Lepisosteus oculatus: one gene and its partner. The protein of the gene in region 1 interacts with the protein of each later gene in a biochemical or structural test. Links are inferred from orthologs where the notes say so. Each region holds a gene or a part of one and is shown on either strand. Other genes may lie near its edges.

Region 1 (7,642 bases):
GTTGCAGGTTTTACTTCACCACACCTTGGTGGAACAGTAAAACGGAGGGTAGGGATATTTCTGTTATTCTAAAGTTGAAAAGGGTCCAGATACAGTGAAAGTGTATTTTAAATAGACCAATACACGTTTTAACAACGCACTTGCTGGCACAAGGTAATGTTTAAAACCCAGAAAAGCCTCTCTTTGCTGGATAGAAAACACAATTAACGCAAATGGGAACTTAGTTCACTCTTCTGGCATGACCGCTCAATGAATATAACTGAATCAGACCTTAAGCCGTGGAAAAACGTGCAAGTGTCGCTCTCCTAAACCCAGACTGACAGCAGGCGCTGGGCTTTAAATCCGTCAAATGCCCCCTTAATTAGGTAGACAATGGACGGCTATAGTCCAAGCACAAGCTGTTAAAGTTCACTTTTAATGATTCCGATCCGACCAATCACAGCAGCTTTCAAATTACAGCGCTCTCCTGCCTCCACGCCCACGTCAGCTTACGCGCAATCGAGATGCCAGCACCGTACCGGCGTGACTTTCCCCGGCACTGTTGCCCGTCGTGACCGGTTGGGATGGCGCACCGGTTGTCCGACAGCACAGCGAGGGTCTGCACACTTGTGGAAAGCTAACATACGAGAGTTTCCACCCTCCCAGGCCGAGAGATCTCCCTCCACACAGCCTGCAGGGGCACGCCAGGAGCGCCAGCGGAGCTCCTGTCTCCGGCCAAGAGCGCACGGCGTCACGCCCCCCTCGGCTTACAGGACACAGACCAAACCGTTTCGTTTTCAGAAAGCAGAACTGAGGGGATCCCCGAATTAAACAGTGTTTTGGCGATCAGATCGGGAGGAGGGGTGGAGGGACGGGCAGGGTGGAGGATCCACAAACCACACGCGGGACAGACTCCGACGACCGACCAACCAACCGGGTGCGACCCAGCCCGGAGTCCCGTCCACCACCACCGTTTCTCAAACCAGCCGTGTCAATCAGATCGATCAGTGGCTCAGCCGCTGACTGACAGGCGCAAGCCCTCCCCTCCAGCGCTACACCCGATGCACGCTTCTCCCTGCCGGTGTCATAGCCGCTTCGCCTTGCAATGAAACACCGCCTCCCGGGCAACAAACTCCGGCTCCGGCCAGGACCCGGGACCCAGCGCCAGGGGGCCCGGCCGCCGCTTCGGCACCGGGGCAGGGGGGTGGATCGTTTCGGATACCGAGAGGGGGAAGAGCAATACAAGACGTCGCTCTTGTCATGCTCTTGCATGTCCATCCTCGGCTTGTGAAGCGCAGGCTGCTGGCGCTGCCCAGGTGGTCCGCTGTCAACGGCACGGCTGCACCCAGGTCTCCTACGAAAGGCCACGATCTTGCCCAACATGAAAGGACAGGGAGCTGTCCAGCGAGTCCCCGCGGTCACTTCAATATTTTTTGTAGGGGGGTGGGGGGGAGTATGAATTTTGACGCACGGCACCACATCTCGCTGCCGTGCAGAGTCGACAACAAACGCCACCACCACGGGGACTTTTCTCGATCAAAACCTGGCTACGACCACCACATTCAACCGCACAACAAACAAACAAAAAACGCATCTGACATCGGCACCTCAAATCGCGACGTCAAAGAGTCTGTTTTGCAGCCGACCACCAACCGACACGAAGCGGGGCATCAGAGGGTCGGTAGAGGAGACGGTGTAGGTGGTGGTGGTGGTGGTGGGGGGGGGCATGCTCATTTTTTGGCATAGGGGAAAAAAATCTCATAACGCCGAAAGGCACACCGCCACCACCCACCAAACACTGTCCCCTGCAGCCGGGCCATGCACACGGCGGAGACCCAGCACACGGGCAAAACGCACACCTTCCCCGTTTCCACGCCTCTGCCGCCCAGCCTTGGCACCACAAGAGCGGGGAGCCGATTGCGCGCAGCGCCCAGCAAGAGGCACAGCCGGGGTGCTCCCGATCGAGCCCCAGTTCAGAAGAGACACCAGCACCACCACCCAAAGGCGATACGCACACGCACACACTCCAGAAGGAAAGTATTGCGATGCAAAGGTGCGCACGGAGCCGTGTCGCACACGCCGGCGGTGACACTGTCACGCCGGGGAGCCGGGGGGCAGTCGGGCCTTACCTGGACCGTCGGAGGCGGACAGGGCAGGTGAATTCAGCTTCGGCCGCTTCGGGTTGGGAGGTCCGACGTCAAGCAGGTTCTCGGCCATGGCGATCGACTCGGATCGTTAGATGTGATTGGGTTATTTTTTTTTCTAAATAGGGGGGGGGGAGGGATCGGTGGCCCCCCAAAAAATAATAATAATAATCCCCACCCCCCGAGAAAAAAATCAAAACCAAAAAGAGAGCAACCCCTCCACGCTCGCCTCCTCTCTACTCTCCGTTTGCAGGAGCGAAATAATCAAGGCGAAATTCTCAAAAAAGTAGCTACAGCGCCCCGCTTCGCCAAAACCATTCACCCCATGATAATCCAACACCCAACACCCACATTATTATCAATAATAATTACCTCCGATGAAAAATATTTTTTTCGAAGGAACAAAGGGCACAAAAAATTAAATACGATCTCCCCGATGGATTTTTTGGTCGTTTTCGTGCCTGCGGAGTGCGCTAAATTCGCATCTTTAAATACCCCCTTTTTTCTGACGTCAATTTAATTGCCTAAAAACCCCCTTCTGCCGGCGAAAAAAATGCGCCGGTGCAAAAAAAAAATATTTCACGGCGCTATTTCGCCCCTTCCCCGCTGTCTGTCCGCCGGCTGCTCCCGGTAAACAATACGGCTGCGAACCAAGATACGGAGCGAAGCGGCGCTTTCTGAAGGGGAAATCAGATATATGGGGGGTTTTCTGGCCGATGAAAACCGACCCAATCTCCGTTTTTTCTCACGAAATGTCTTCGAAGGCGTCTAAGCTTTTCGTTTTCGGCAGAAGAAACCCGTTTGGCCTCGGTTCGGATGTTCCGGTTCTCAATAAAAAATAATGCTCTCCCGAAATCCTGACTCCGAGCCGCGACAAGATGGCGGCTGTTGATTCCTTCGATACAAAAAGTTTTTTTTCCAGATAGACCGCGAGGGGGAGGGGCCGCGCAATCACGCCCTACGCACGGCTCTGCCGTGCGTCACACGGAAACTGACGAAGATGCCTCTAGGGGCGGAAATACCCGAATGTCTCGAATTGAAAAGGGTTGTTTAGACGGGTGTTACGGACGTGTAGCGTGTGTGAAACGCTTCGAAAGGGGGTGTTCTCATTGAATTGTTTCTAGGAATGCGTTGTACAGACTCTGATCAAGCGGCCAAAGTATGTGATCTGAGCATTTCCAGTAAATGCTCAGATCACTCTGTTAATTTTCTGCACATTGATGGTGGTGGAGGGGAGTCCCCATTACCTGTAAAGCGCTTTGAGTGGAGTGTCCAGAAAAGCGCTATATAAGTGTAAGCAATTATTATTATATGTCCAAAAAAATTTATTTTCCCATGCTAATCCAAATGGTCTCTAGCAAACCGACAAAAATAAACTCACTTTTCAATAACCTTGTCGGATGATACACGCAACGTCTTTATAGTCATATTTGTGAAAAGTCTACCAATGTGCGTATTACGCTGTAAAGATGATACATTCGCGTAGCACATCGTATCGTTTAATTATAGTTGTGTTTTTCCCCCACAAAAAAAATAGCAAATGCTCCCAAACAGAAAACGGCTCGCCGTTGCAACAGTTTGTGCCTATTTTAATCTTTGAAGGTGCAGGCTATTGCAAATACTGTAAAAACACTGTATCCCTACGCAAAGACAAGTTAAATTGGTTTAATTAAGACTGCTTTTCAGCTGCATCAGCACAACAGCAACACCTGAAATTGATCAACCACTACACGGCTGGAGTCTGATATCTTGGAGGTCATTCCCCATGTCCATGATACTGCAACAAACCGATTTTACTACTCAACATTGCATCAGTTGCATAAATCTCATTAATACATCAGATAGCAAAAACCGTTGAGTATGTTGTTGTGTATGTTAGTCAGTTGTGGCTGTCATTATTATTTTTTTGTAATGGACTGTGCAGATTGTGGGGTTTTGTCTATTGTACTGTGCATGTCACAGGAGAACTGTGAGAATTTACATGTGCATCTCGCAAATAAACTCTTCTCTCTCAATGTATAGGAGGGGACCCATTTTGTCCACCACTGGAGAGCAGACTCACCTGAGAGATCAGCACTAGCAGAATAGGTGACGCAGTGAGAAAATTCTCCTCCTGCTGGGCTGAGGAGAAAGTTTAAGGAGACACCACAAATAACACCAGTACTAAAGTAACGCCACAGTCCAGTCTGCAAGACCCATTTCTAATAGTTCAGGATAGTGTAGTCTAAATTTAGTAGAACACTTCACACTTCCAAGTCCAGGAACTTTGCCATCTCCACAATTCACTACGATACTGAGAAAAGCATAGCAGAAAAGTGAGAAACCTACCTGATACAACATCAAATGCAGCAAAAGCAGCATCACTAACAAATGGTTTGGGGGGATTGTAGATTTCTGAATGGAAAATTAAGATCAGATATAAGGGTGGCATGGTGGCACAGTCATGAGCACCACTGCCTTGCAGCCCTGGGTTCATTTCCTGGGGTACTGTCTGTGTGGAGTTTGCATGTTCCCCCCTGTGATAGCATGGGTTTCCTCTGGGTGCTCCGGTGTCTTCCCACAGTCCAAAGACATACTGGCAGGGTAACTGGCTTCTGGGAAAATTGTCCCTGGTGTGAGCGTGCGTGCCGTGAGATGGACTGGTGTCCTGTCCAGGGTGTATCCTGGCTTGTGCCTGCTGCTTGCAGAATAGGCTCCATCACCCCCACAACCCTGAATTGGAGAAGCAGTTATTAAAAGTGATAAGATATATGATATACAATACACTTGTATATAACGTCTATGACTTACTTGCGTCGAATAAGATGCACAAATGTGGTCACCAGGTTCCCAAAAAAAAACACTCCTGCTCTGGATTCCGTTCAAAGAAGAGTCACAAGGTTAATTCTGACGCTGAGCACGGTCTCATAAGACAAGGAGCTAAATCTCTTCAGGGTTGAACAACGGAGGCTTTGCGTGAGTTTAAAATGGTGAGCAACATGGAAACAGCACACAAGTTGGCACGCAGGTGCCAGAGTTACAAGAGAAAATGGAAAACATTCTGCATCTGGGTCAAAGTCGGGCAGCATCTCTGTAACGAAAGGAGCGTGGGTGTCTGCAGTCCAACGGGACAAATTTTCAAAAGATTCCCCGGGATCTTTTAAGAAAACCCTGGAAGAGATCTCCAAGCCTCCCGCTTCCCAGTAACTCAAGAAGCAAAATGAGCTGTATCCTCAGACTTCCGTTTGTAGCAGCATTTGTTCTGGAGGACAAATGTTTCTGGAGAGGTTAATTGGTTTTAATCCCAACAGATCTCGAAATTACCCCCCCCACCAATAAACTGAGGGAAAGAATCATTTCTGGATAACTTCTAACCTGTTGCTCTGGAGTCCTCCAGGTCCAGGACTGGTCACTCCTGAACTAGACACCCTGGTCCTGGACATCACAGCGCAGTTCTGAGTCTGAATGACCGAGGTGGGGCACCTGTGCACAGGTAAGCGGTACTCACTGACTGAAAGCTCCACCTAGGACTTGGGCTCTTCAAAGGAGTCAGTGCCCTTCATCTCACTCCAGGACAGTCTGCAGACTTGTTACAGATACCCGTTTAATTGCCAATTTATTTGGCTGACACGTTGATTCAAAACGACTTATGTTTGCACTCATTTAAGCAGCAGAGTAGTTCACCGGAGCAATTCCAGTACTTTGTTCGAGGGTACAACAGAAGTATCACGCCTGGGATTTGAACACCACAACCCTCTATTTATGAATCTAGATACTCACAGGTAATACAGGACAGGATGTTAGCAAATGTTCTAGATAGAAGAAGGAAATCACTTTGCACTACTGTGCACTGGAAAACCCCCTCCGAGACTGGTATGCCACTGGATAAGATTCTGGGAGCAATTATCTACCACCAACAAAACAAAAACATTAATCAAATGGCCTTCTTTCCTTTGTAACTCTTACCTCGTTGATGACTTAATTGTGTGACTTGATGGCTTAATTGTTGTCAACAATTAATGGTGAACCGTCTGTAGATAGTGTGGATTTAAGGTTCTCTTTAGAACTTGTAAATCCGGACGCCTTACATTTCCCCCGTATTTATTCTTTTTGACGGATAAACTCTGACCGAAAGACACGGCTAACCTGCTTTTGTAGGTATCAGAGATCCGGCTCGATTTAGACACAAGTATCGCTGAATTTAATGCGATGACGGCAGTTTTCTCTGCTACATTTTAAGAGCGCAAGCGAAACAACGACAGGATATTTGCATCCCTCAAGTCAGCAGTGGTCCGTGAAGAGAATGTTTACAGTGTAAGAGCAACAGATACCAAACTAATAGAAAAGCAAGATACAGAAGGTGAACGTCGTAACTAAACTTCATCCTAGTAAGCAGGACACAGGCTATATAGGCTTTACAGTTTCCTAACATGGCACGTATTATGCAGGCTTATGTCAAAAACCGTTTCATAGTCGTAAACTGGTAATAATGCTTTTTTTGCTATGCTACGGACAGCGTTTTCACTTACCTTGCTAAGCCTTAGCTTAGGCGACTTTCAGTTATTTAAAACAATGTCCACAACTCGGAGCTTTAACACCGAACAATGGAGAAGCATTGCGATATTAAATGTTTCTCGACACATTCTGAAGAAGACAGCTGGAGTACCAATGATGGAAGGAATTTGTAACTGCGCTTTCAAACAAGATGTACTAAAACCACCCAGTCTTCCAGCCAACAGGAACGTGTGTGCTTTGTGATCAGTTGCACTAAAATATCTTTTGCAAAACCGCCCATTATTTACCTAATTAGCTCGTTTTTCAGGCAATTTAGCCCAATTTAATCTCTTAACGTTTCTTTAAAAGAACACCGCTGAACGTTTGCGAAATGCGTTCATGTCTCATTTTTCATTACAATTTTGCAGTCGATACAGCATGAATTGAGAGATGAAGTCGAGACGCTCCCATTCCCCATCATATGTTGCATTTAAAGGTTATGCATTAGGTATTCAGCTTAGCATTGTTTTCAAAATGTATGCCTTTTAATAAGAAGAGCAGCTCAAGGGTTGTGCGCAGTTAGCCCCATAAGAGTAACTCAAAACGTTACTCATAAGACAACTGTATGTTGCTGAGATCAAAAACGAAATAGTTGAACAAAGTTTCATGCTGTCTTCTTGCTCTGTTGACGCACAAGCGTCTAGACATCATTTTAACGACTCGAACTGCCTCAGCGCATTATTGGCCTTTTTAAATAATTAAAAGCAAACCCTGAATGGGATTCAGTGCGGACCTCTCACTCTCCTCCGGTGCTTAAAACGACCCATCTTTGAATATGCAAGGAGTAACTGTGCAGAAACGACGGATGAAAAAGGAGGAGTTTGTACACTGATTGTGAGCCCCTCTTTTCTGCTGAAATTAATTGCCTCGTTTATTACTAAAGAACGCCTGATAGCTTCAACACCGCTTGCGATTTAGAATCACCTCCACCTTCTTTCCCGTATGATCTGTATGAGCTTGACAATCTTACGTTGTTTTTTTATTTA
Region 2 (8,074 bases), on another chromosome or scaffold:
TGTGCATTCTCATCACAGTTTAATGTTTTGGACTATTTTACTGACTATCGCTGTCTCCGAGGCGAGCCTCTTAACAACAGCAGCGTGTTGATCTATAACTTGCATAAACAGCACGAGTTACTGTATCAGAAGTGTTCAATTGTGGAACAGAGACAAAACCCCTGACCAGCTGGAATCAAATATGAAAATCTAGACGTTTCTTAGATCTGTTTCTTTGAACTATTATTCTTAGGAAAGCTTCATAAAACCCCTGGGTTGTTATCAATGTCGAAATGTTAAACTGTAAGTAGTATGTACATATATTCAAACTGAACACTCCACACAGACGTCAGATGTTATTTTTTTTTACAAATATTCGAAGCAGAGCTAGTTCAGCTACAGGCCCCTAGGAAACAATGCTGCCCCGACACACCTTTTGCTAATATTTAATTGCAACGCAATAATTTAAAAAAAACTAACTGAACATTCATTTTGTGAACCGCCCTTCCATTAAAATGTATACAGTATACTGGATTAAACGATTATGAAGAGTTCATCACTGATGGGAAATTATTTTCATTAACATATAGCGGGCCTACTTGCTAACCGAAGCTTGAAGGTGCAACTGGATTCAAAAGGAGGGGTTGTAGGTCACATTCTTGACTGGGAGATGGATCCAAAATGGCAAAAAAAAAAAACCGTGAAACTTTTTATTGCTTAGGAATAATACGGAAAATGAAGATATTTACACCTGAAGAGAAATCGTCTGTATTTATGTTCATATAGAATATCATTACTGGCACTTGTGGGGCCCCACTGGAAGTGTGTGTCAATGAGTAGTTGTTTATTAATGTCCTAAGACGAGCTAATGAAGACGTATCTCTTTTAAAACTATTAAGTCTTGCTATATCACCACCCCGGCGGCTAACGAGAGAGAGAAGTTGCTCTTGTTGACAATGTACTGTTGCTAACTTTCCGCGGGCTGGGGCCAAAACTGCAGTGAAAGCCGATTGCTGTCATAGAAGATCTTCAGACCTAATTAATCACGAGATTTAAAATACACCGGGACACGCGGCTGCTGTTCTTTCTGGCTCTGGGGGCATTCAGAGATTGCAGAACACGCAAATGGACAAAAAACATACAAAACCAAAAACATCTCATTTCCGAACTACAGTTATTGCATTTGCTACCGATCGGTTAATTTTTTTTAAAAAAAGGCCAACACAGACCGAGTGGATTAGCTAATGATATTGACGTGTAGCATGAAAGAAAATACGTGTTACTTCTCCACGGCTTTCTGGTGGCCGCGGCCGCAGCCCTCCGAACATCAAAGGCGTGGAGGAAGAACATATTACGGCTTGACTCGAACGCTTGGAAAATCAAAAAGAATTTCTGTGTACAGGGCATGCAAACCCTTCACACCCCCCGGTAATCGGAGAGCATTTGTCAACAGCAACAGAAGAAGCCATTCGCGATTCGCTCACCGTTCTAAACAATATAACTCCACCGAACGAGAAAACATTTTTTTTTTTTACAGGCAAAACTGTGCTGGCTAAAAAAATAACCCTACAAGCTTTTACTAGATCCCGCAATTTGAACGAGGGGGAAAAAAAGAACAGCGCAAACATACGAATTTTTTTTTTCGTATAGATTTTTTTTTTTTAAATAGACGAGGGCACCCTTAGTATACGGCGTCGGTAAAACCAGATCCACATCAGAAGGCAGATCTGTCGTTACTCCGTTTCGAAATTCAGGCACAGAGACCCGCCGAAGTCAGGCTGAGGAATCCGGTGCATTCTCCACAACACTCTCTGTAATGAATATGCAAAGGACTAATATTATAGCTTTATGGGGGGGTCGTATAGCAATAAAAGATCTGCTTTAGCAAAACGTCATAAAGGCGACTCGACACTGCGCAATTAAAGCGTTTTTAAAACCACAATTTAAAAGGTCGCTTTGTCTTGGCGAGGAGTGCTTCATCATTGTTGTTAGTTCCATGCAACGAATAGCCTTCCCCCCCCCCTCCGACACCAACAATCACATACCTGTGCTTCTCATCCAGGGATAGATCCGGAAGTTGGCTTCGTTCTGCTGCTCAGCGTCTCCGTGCTCTGCTTTGCCGCCGCACGCCTGCTTGGAGGGCTCCCCGGCGCAGACCATGGGCAGGTTCTGATCGAAGGGCGAGCAGTGCATGTTGAAGGAGCCCGTGTTGAGGCCGTAGCCGGCCGAATACACGCTCTGGTTCGGGGGATGCACGCTGCCTCCGTTGCTGTACAGCCCCGGCATAGAGGAAGGGAAGCTAGTGGCACCGTTGCCCGAGACATAGCCGCCGGTTCGCTGAGAACTGGGCGCAAAAGCGCAAGAAGTTTGCTCGGGGAAGACCCCAGCTGGGAACACCGAACTTGCAGCTTGGTATTTGGAGAATAAAGCATTCGCATAATACAATGAACTCATAATTTGGCCGGGTGATTTGTAGGCCGGGACGTTTTAGTGTCGGTTTTACGAGGTACCGTGATATATTACGGAATTAAAGTCCAGATTTACACCAAAAAGCACCCCTTTTTCCTCAGGGTTCACGTGACAGGGGGCACGTGACTCGCGGTGGTCCAATGGAAAGGGGGCTTCCCAGATCTTCGGCGCTGTGGAAAATCTGAAGTACGGCTCAGATTAGAAAATGTTAAATAATTTACGTTATGTAACCTAAAGATCCGCGTGTGCAAGAGGCAAGAGCTCGCAAACACAAATCGATAAACTACAGCCTGGACCGTAATCCGTTCTGTCCCGGGGAGCGAGATTGGAGTGTGCTGGGGTCGGTGGAGGTGCAGAGAGGAAGAAAAATCAGATTTAAGAACGTACTCCACCATTTGCGAGGCATCACATACATAAAGAGAAACCTATTTATTGCAGCATCGATTTTCTCCTCGAAACATCGTCCTGCGAATATACCCCCCCTCTCCCTCTCTCTCCCCACACACGGCGCTCTGTCCCTGCTATCTGGGCGAGCGCTTCTCTCCCGGCTGCCGGTGTGTCTGTCGGCTCGTCCGGGGCTCCAGCTAATGAGTTAGACTCTGTTGCAGAGTTTCTGCCTCAGAGCATCCATTTACACCGGCCGCACAAAAGCTCGTGGTTTCCAGCAATGAGGATGAAACTCGGATTTTTTTTTCCACCTCCAGGAACGTTTGACGCACAAACCCCCCCCCCCCCCCTCCTCCACCAAAGACCCCCCCGGCCCCCAATAAAAGAGTTTTAAATGAACACGTGATTCCGTTCCGAAGATGTTCCATTAGAAGAACTTATGGGTACAGCTGAACGCGAATACAGCTCGGAGTGCATAATAACTGTAATGATATCACCGCCTGTGATGCGTTAATAGGCCTATGGGCCATTGATACACGAGTATCCCGGTATTAACGCCTGTTCCTTTTCTTTGTGATTGTGAGGTGTCTTTACCCGACTGCTGCCACAACCATAATAAAAGGTTTCACAGGTCTGGTTTACCAAATCATTCAGATTTTAGTGCTCCGTCCGCCACAGTCGCCCAATACAAAGTCGGACGCGAGTAACTATCGGTACCTAGTCGTATATCGTGTTGGGGTTTTGTTTTACTTAAAATTGATTTTTTTTAAAAAAGGCAACTTAAATCGCAAATAAATTTGCTCTCATATTGGAGTGAGCTTAGGTCTGGATCATCTTATTCTACTGTCAGCGAGGGGTGGGGGGCTTTTCTCAGGCCGGGAATAGAAGACGAAGGCTTTTGCGCCCCCGTTTGCCTCTCGTCTTGTGGGGGAACTGTGGGGACGGGGCTATGTGGGGTGTCTGTGGAAAGACAGGGGCCCGACCAGAGGATCACCTCGACAGAGAGGAAGCAGGAGGACAGCTGTGCCGTCACGGGATTTCGCTTGTAAACTTTATTGTGTCCTTCTCTTCCGCAGCCTCCAGGCTTTGACAATAGAACAGAGCAGTGAAGAACAATCAAGCGAGTCACCAGGCCTCCATAAACTAATTCACGAGTACAGTATACATTCTGGTTCACAGTTAACGAAAGATCACCTTACAGTCTGTTCAATTACTATTATGCACTGTGCGCATGCTTAGTCCCAAACTTGAAAAAAAAACCAAACAAGAACAACAAAATATTATTAATTAAAACAGACTAATCGAAGGACAGAACATAAAAAAAACAGAATAACCTACAGCATAAATAGGCAGTTTCATGTTGTTGGGAATTCATTATTTGCTACGTTATTAGAATACCATGAATGAGAACGATAAAAAGTGCACCATATAACATAATAAAAAAAAAACTATACAGCTGCCAAATGTAATTGTTAATGATGATATCCTAACAATAAAAAGGTTTCACATTTAAGTCTTCCACAAATAAGAAAGCTATTTTGTTTCTCGTTACACTACGATATTTTTTCCGACATCTGGTAAAAAGTAGAAATATTTCTTTCCGTGGGATAACAGTTTTCGCTTCATCAAACGAATCTTACACTTGATACAATAACGCCTCCGCCAGTTCTTGTTTCCCTATATATATATATTCCACAGCATTTTATACAAGGAACGCGAGAAGGTTACAGTGTTGCTCTGAGAAAGCGGCGCGCTGTATCGCCTCAGTCGGTGGCCTTTAGCTGTCTTCCTCCGCTCGTCCATTTCTGGGGCTCGCCTAAATCTGTTTCTCTTTCTCCCCGTCTTCCTCGGCCGTCTGCTCCCCCTCCGCTTTCTCCTTCTCCTTCTTCTGTTTCTCTATTTCCTCCTGCTCCGATTTGCTGCTGGGGAATTTGTCCTTGTTGTTCTCCTTTTTCCACTTCATCCGCCGGTTCTGAAACCAGATCTTGACCTGGCGCTCGGTCAGTCCCAGGGCGTGCGACACCTCGATCCGCCGCTTGCGGGTCAGGTACGGGTTGAAGAGGAACTCCTTCTCCAGCTCCAGCGTCTGGTAGCGGCTGTAGGTCTGCCGGCCTCGCCTCCGTCCGGCAGCTACTGGGAAGAGAAGCGGGCGACACGTTTTAGAAAAGACGAGCATCAGAATTCAGGCACATTGTGAAAACCACCTTCCTGGAGGCAGCCTTTCAACGAGACCACCAGTCCGGCCACACTAATATTTTATTCGCTTTTCCTGGTCCAGTTGTGATGAACCTCAAGCGTACCTCTTGCACAAGTGCACAATCCACATACAAAAACGCGTGTGTATAGTTATATATATAGCATATGTTCGTACATCACGTTACACACACAGTAACTGGAATACACACTCTGCACTCTGATAGGGCATATCAGAGGAAGAAACTTTGTCAATACAAACAGACACAGATGCAGGCTAGTGATCCCCCACATGGAGAGAGAAGGAAGCCGAGGGGAGACAGTGCCCCTTTCTGCTAGGGCCATTAAACTATAAAGTGATTCACAAGTTTGGACACCATAAAACGGTAAAGAAAACAACATGCTATTGTCTCTATTCCCACTCACAGGAAATACCAGCTTTATGGTCGCTGAGAATTTCTCTCTCTCTCTACCTCCCTCCCTCTCTTTATAGTTACGCTACCCTTCCCTGCGACCCGCGCCGCCGCCTCTCCAGTCCTGTTCCGGTCTCACCTTGAGGTCTCATCCAGGGGAAGAGTTGCGTGGGAGACGGGCTCTGCTCGGCGCTCTCCGTGTCGTCCGCGATGCTGCTCGCCGCCAGCTTGCAGTCGCTGTACTGCACGAGGTCAGCCTCCTGGCTCCCGAAGAGCGTCTGCCTTTGCAAAGCGTCGTAGCCATAGAAGTTCCCCGGCTCCCCGTGACAGGTCACGGCACACGGGCTCTGCTGGTAAGGGGTGGCGGAGAGCGTGGACGCGCCGTGGTGATAAAACTCCTGAATCTGAGTTGGATGTTGGAAAGTTCCACCGGTACCGGGTCCATAGACTACAGTGGGTCTGTTCCCCAGTTCCTGCGTGAAACCACACTCGTAATAATTAGGACGTAAGGAATCGCCGCTTTTATATTTGGAGAAAAGAGAGTTGACAAAATAAGAGCTCATGTTTTTTTGTACGTTGTTGGCCGCTGTTGCTGTGTCTTTTGTTGTTGTTGTTGTTGTTGTTGTTTAGGAGCCGGAGTTTCTCATATAACCCCCCAAAAAATAAATAAATAAATCAGCGTTTCTCGGGATTGCGGCGCCAACACTCAGGGAATCCCAAGAATGCCTTTTTTTTAAGAACTCCTTTTAAATTTTCAAGCCACTATCATTGTCGACTTCCATAAAATCGCCACCACTCGGCTCTACCGCATTACAATTCCAGTAAGGGTTGCCAGTTCATAAACAGTTTTCCGTGATTTACTCAGCCGCAAATGAGTTGTTTCATATTTTGCAGTGTCTTTTCAGGATAATTTGCATCTATTATCGGATCTTCATCCCATTGGCTTCGGCGTTTCCACACGGACACTGCACTGCGCGATTGTGTTGTGGAGAGAGGGAGAGACGGAGACAGCGAGGGGAAGAGAGGGAAGAGAGGGAGGGCTTGGGGGGGGTGTGAGAGAGAGGGAGAGAGAGGAGGGGAGAATTTGCACATTAATATATTCAACCGGCTTAGTTAATGAGATATCTGCCGCTTTGCATCAGATCTGGAGCACGCGCCGTCTCCCCCTTCCCACCCCCCGAAAAAAAAGACTGATTTTAAAGGAGTCGCTGATAGTCAAACTGAAAAGAGACGCACTCCGTCGTTAATTTTGAAATTCTAACGAGGTGGATTCGCCTCGCTCTCTTTTTTTTCTCTCCCTAAATGTCAGGGTCGCATTGGCAAATTGTGAAAGTACACGACTTAATTACTATCAGTTTTAACGGGTCCTATAAACGTAATTGGCGTTCTAGAACAACTTGTCAAAAGCGCCGAACTCCGGCGGCTGCGGCACAGGCGAGGCAGACGGGGGTAGTAATATTTAACATTTTAATGATCATATTTTTATAAATATGTTATTGATAAAGATTTAAAGGCCTCGGAAAGGGAAAGTGCTGCTTGTGTAATAGACAAAGCGGCTGTAAACGGTTTAACAAACTATAAAATGTAATAAAACGCCAAGGTTGCCTGTAGAGTGTACGGTGTAGACGGAGAAGGAGGGGATAGAAAAGGCTGTTAAGATTTTATGAGGTTCCACGACTAGCGCTATAAAATAAAGGTTTCACTTGGAGCTACCCCACTGATGCAGAAATCCTCAAGTATTTAATTGTCATTTTATTGTGTTTTCAATACGAAGCATCATTGCTATGTGTTTTGTTATAGAAAACCCGATATTTTAACTAACATTGTTCCCAGGTGCTCGCACACAGGACCCGTGGTCGAATACTTTTCCAATATGGATTGGCTAATATTCCGCCTTAAGAGGCCGTAAAAATTGAGTTTTGCCTAAGCCCCTATTAACGAGAATAATGCTCGTTTTATTTAGTACGGTGATTCATTCATAACAGAGAAAAGCTACATTTCAAACTTGCACATATCGCAGATTTCATTTCAAATCAAAGCAAACCCAGTATCCGGGATTTGACGAGGGAGTTCAGTTTATTTGTTGTCAGCATTTTACAGTTTTTTCCTCTAAATTTGAAAAGACATATGGCGATAATTAGGATGAGATTCGTATTCAGTATAATAGTGCTGAATGGGCACAACAAAGCAGAAGCGACTTGAAGCGAAATTATTCATAGGGGTGCCAGTGTACATACAACTATGAGATAACAGGGAATATTCTCGCAAATTGCGTGTGTTTGTGTATGAGCAGGACTATTAATACGAATAAAACACAGAAGCACGCACGAGTTTATCTAAATAATATGCTGGGAGTTTGTGAACCCTAATGTTTCTGCAAAGTGACACAGTACGCCGCATTGTTCATTTTCGTCCTTGTGAAAATTTCTTGCTTCTAAGGCAATTAGCACGGAATATTAAGAAGGCTTCAATAAGTGCGTGACATTACTGATTGTGTAATACATAAGCTAACAATCTAAAAGTAAAAAAACTTCATCCGTGAATTTGAATGAGTGTTCGTTTAAGTAAAACAGTCCTGTCCTAGTGCTGCTGTCTCACTCTGTGTGTCGAAATCTCCCAGTTTTTTTGTCTGA

What was found.
Region 2: the proteins of crebbpa (region 1) and hoxb7a form a complex in vitro, tested with the Homo sapiens proteins (2 studies listed by BioGRID). The link is inferred for Lepisosteus oculatus from reciprocal best matches to the Homo sapiens genes CREBBP and HOXB7.

Annotation. Positions count from the first base shown.
Region 1 is NC_090714.1:3,324,952-3,332,593, forward strand, and holds the start of crebbpa (CREB-binding protein), read right to left. Parts: upstream 3,032-7,642; 5' UTR 2,197-3,031; coding exon 2,109-2,196; intron 1-2,108. UniProt on the Homo sapiens protein: Acetylates histones, giving a specific tag for transcriptional activation. Mediates acetylation of histone H3 at 'Lys-18' and 'Lys-27' (H3K18ac and H3K27ac, respectively).
Region 2 is NC_090723.1:9,324,708-9,332,781, forward strand, and holds the start of hoxb7a (homeobox protein Hox-B7a), read right to left. Parts: upstream 3,098-8,074; 5' UTR 2,434-3,097; coding exon 2,025-2,433; intron 1-2,024. Other genes in the region: hoxb8a (homeobox protein Hox-B8a), read right to left, coding at 4,652-4,968, 5,581-6,004. UniProt on the Homo sapiens protein: Sequence-specific transcription factor which is part of a developmental regulatory system that provides cells with specific positional identities on the anterior-posterior axis.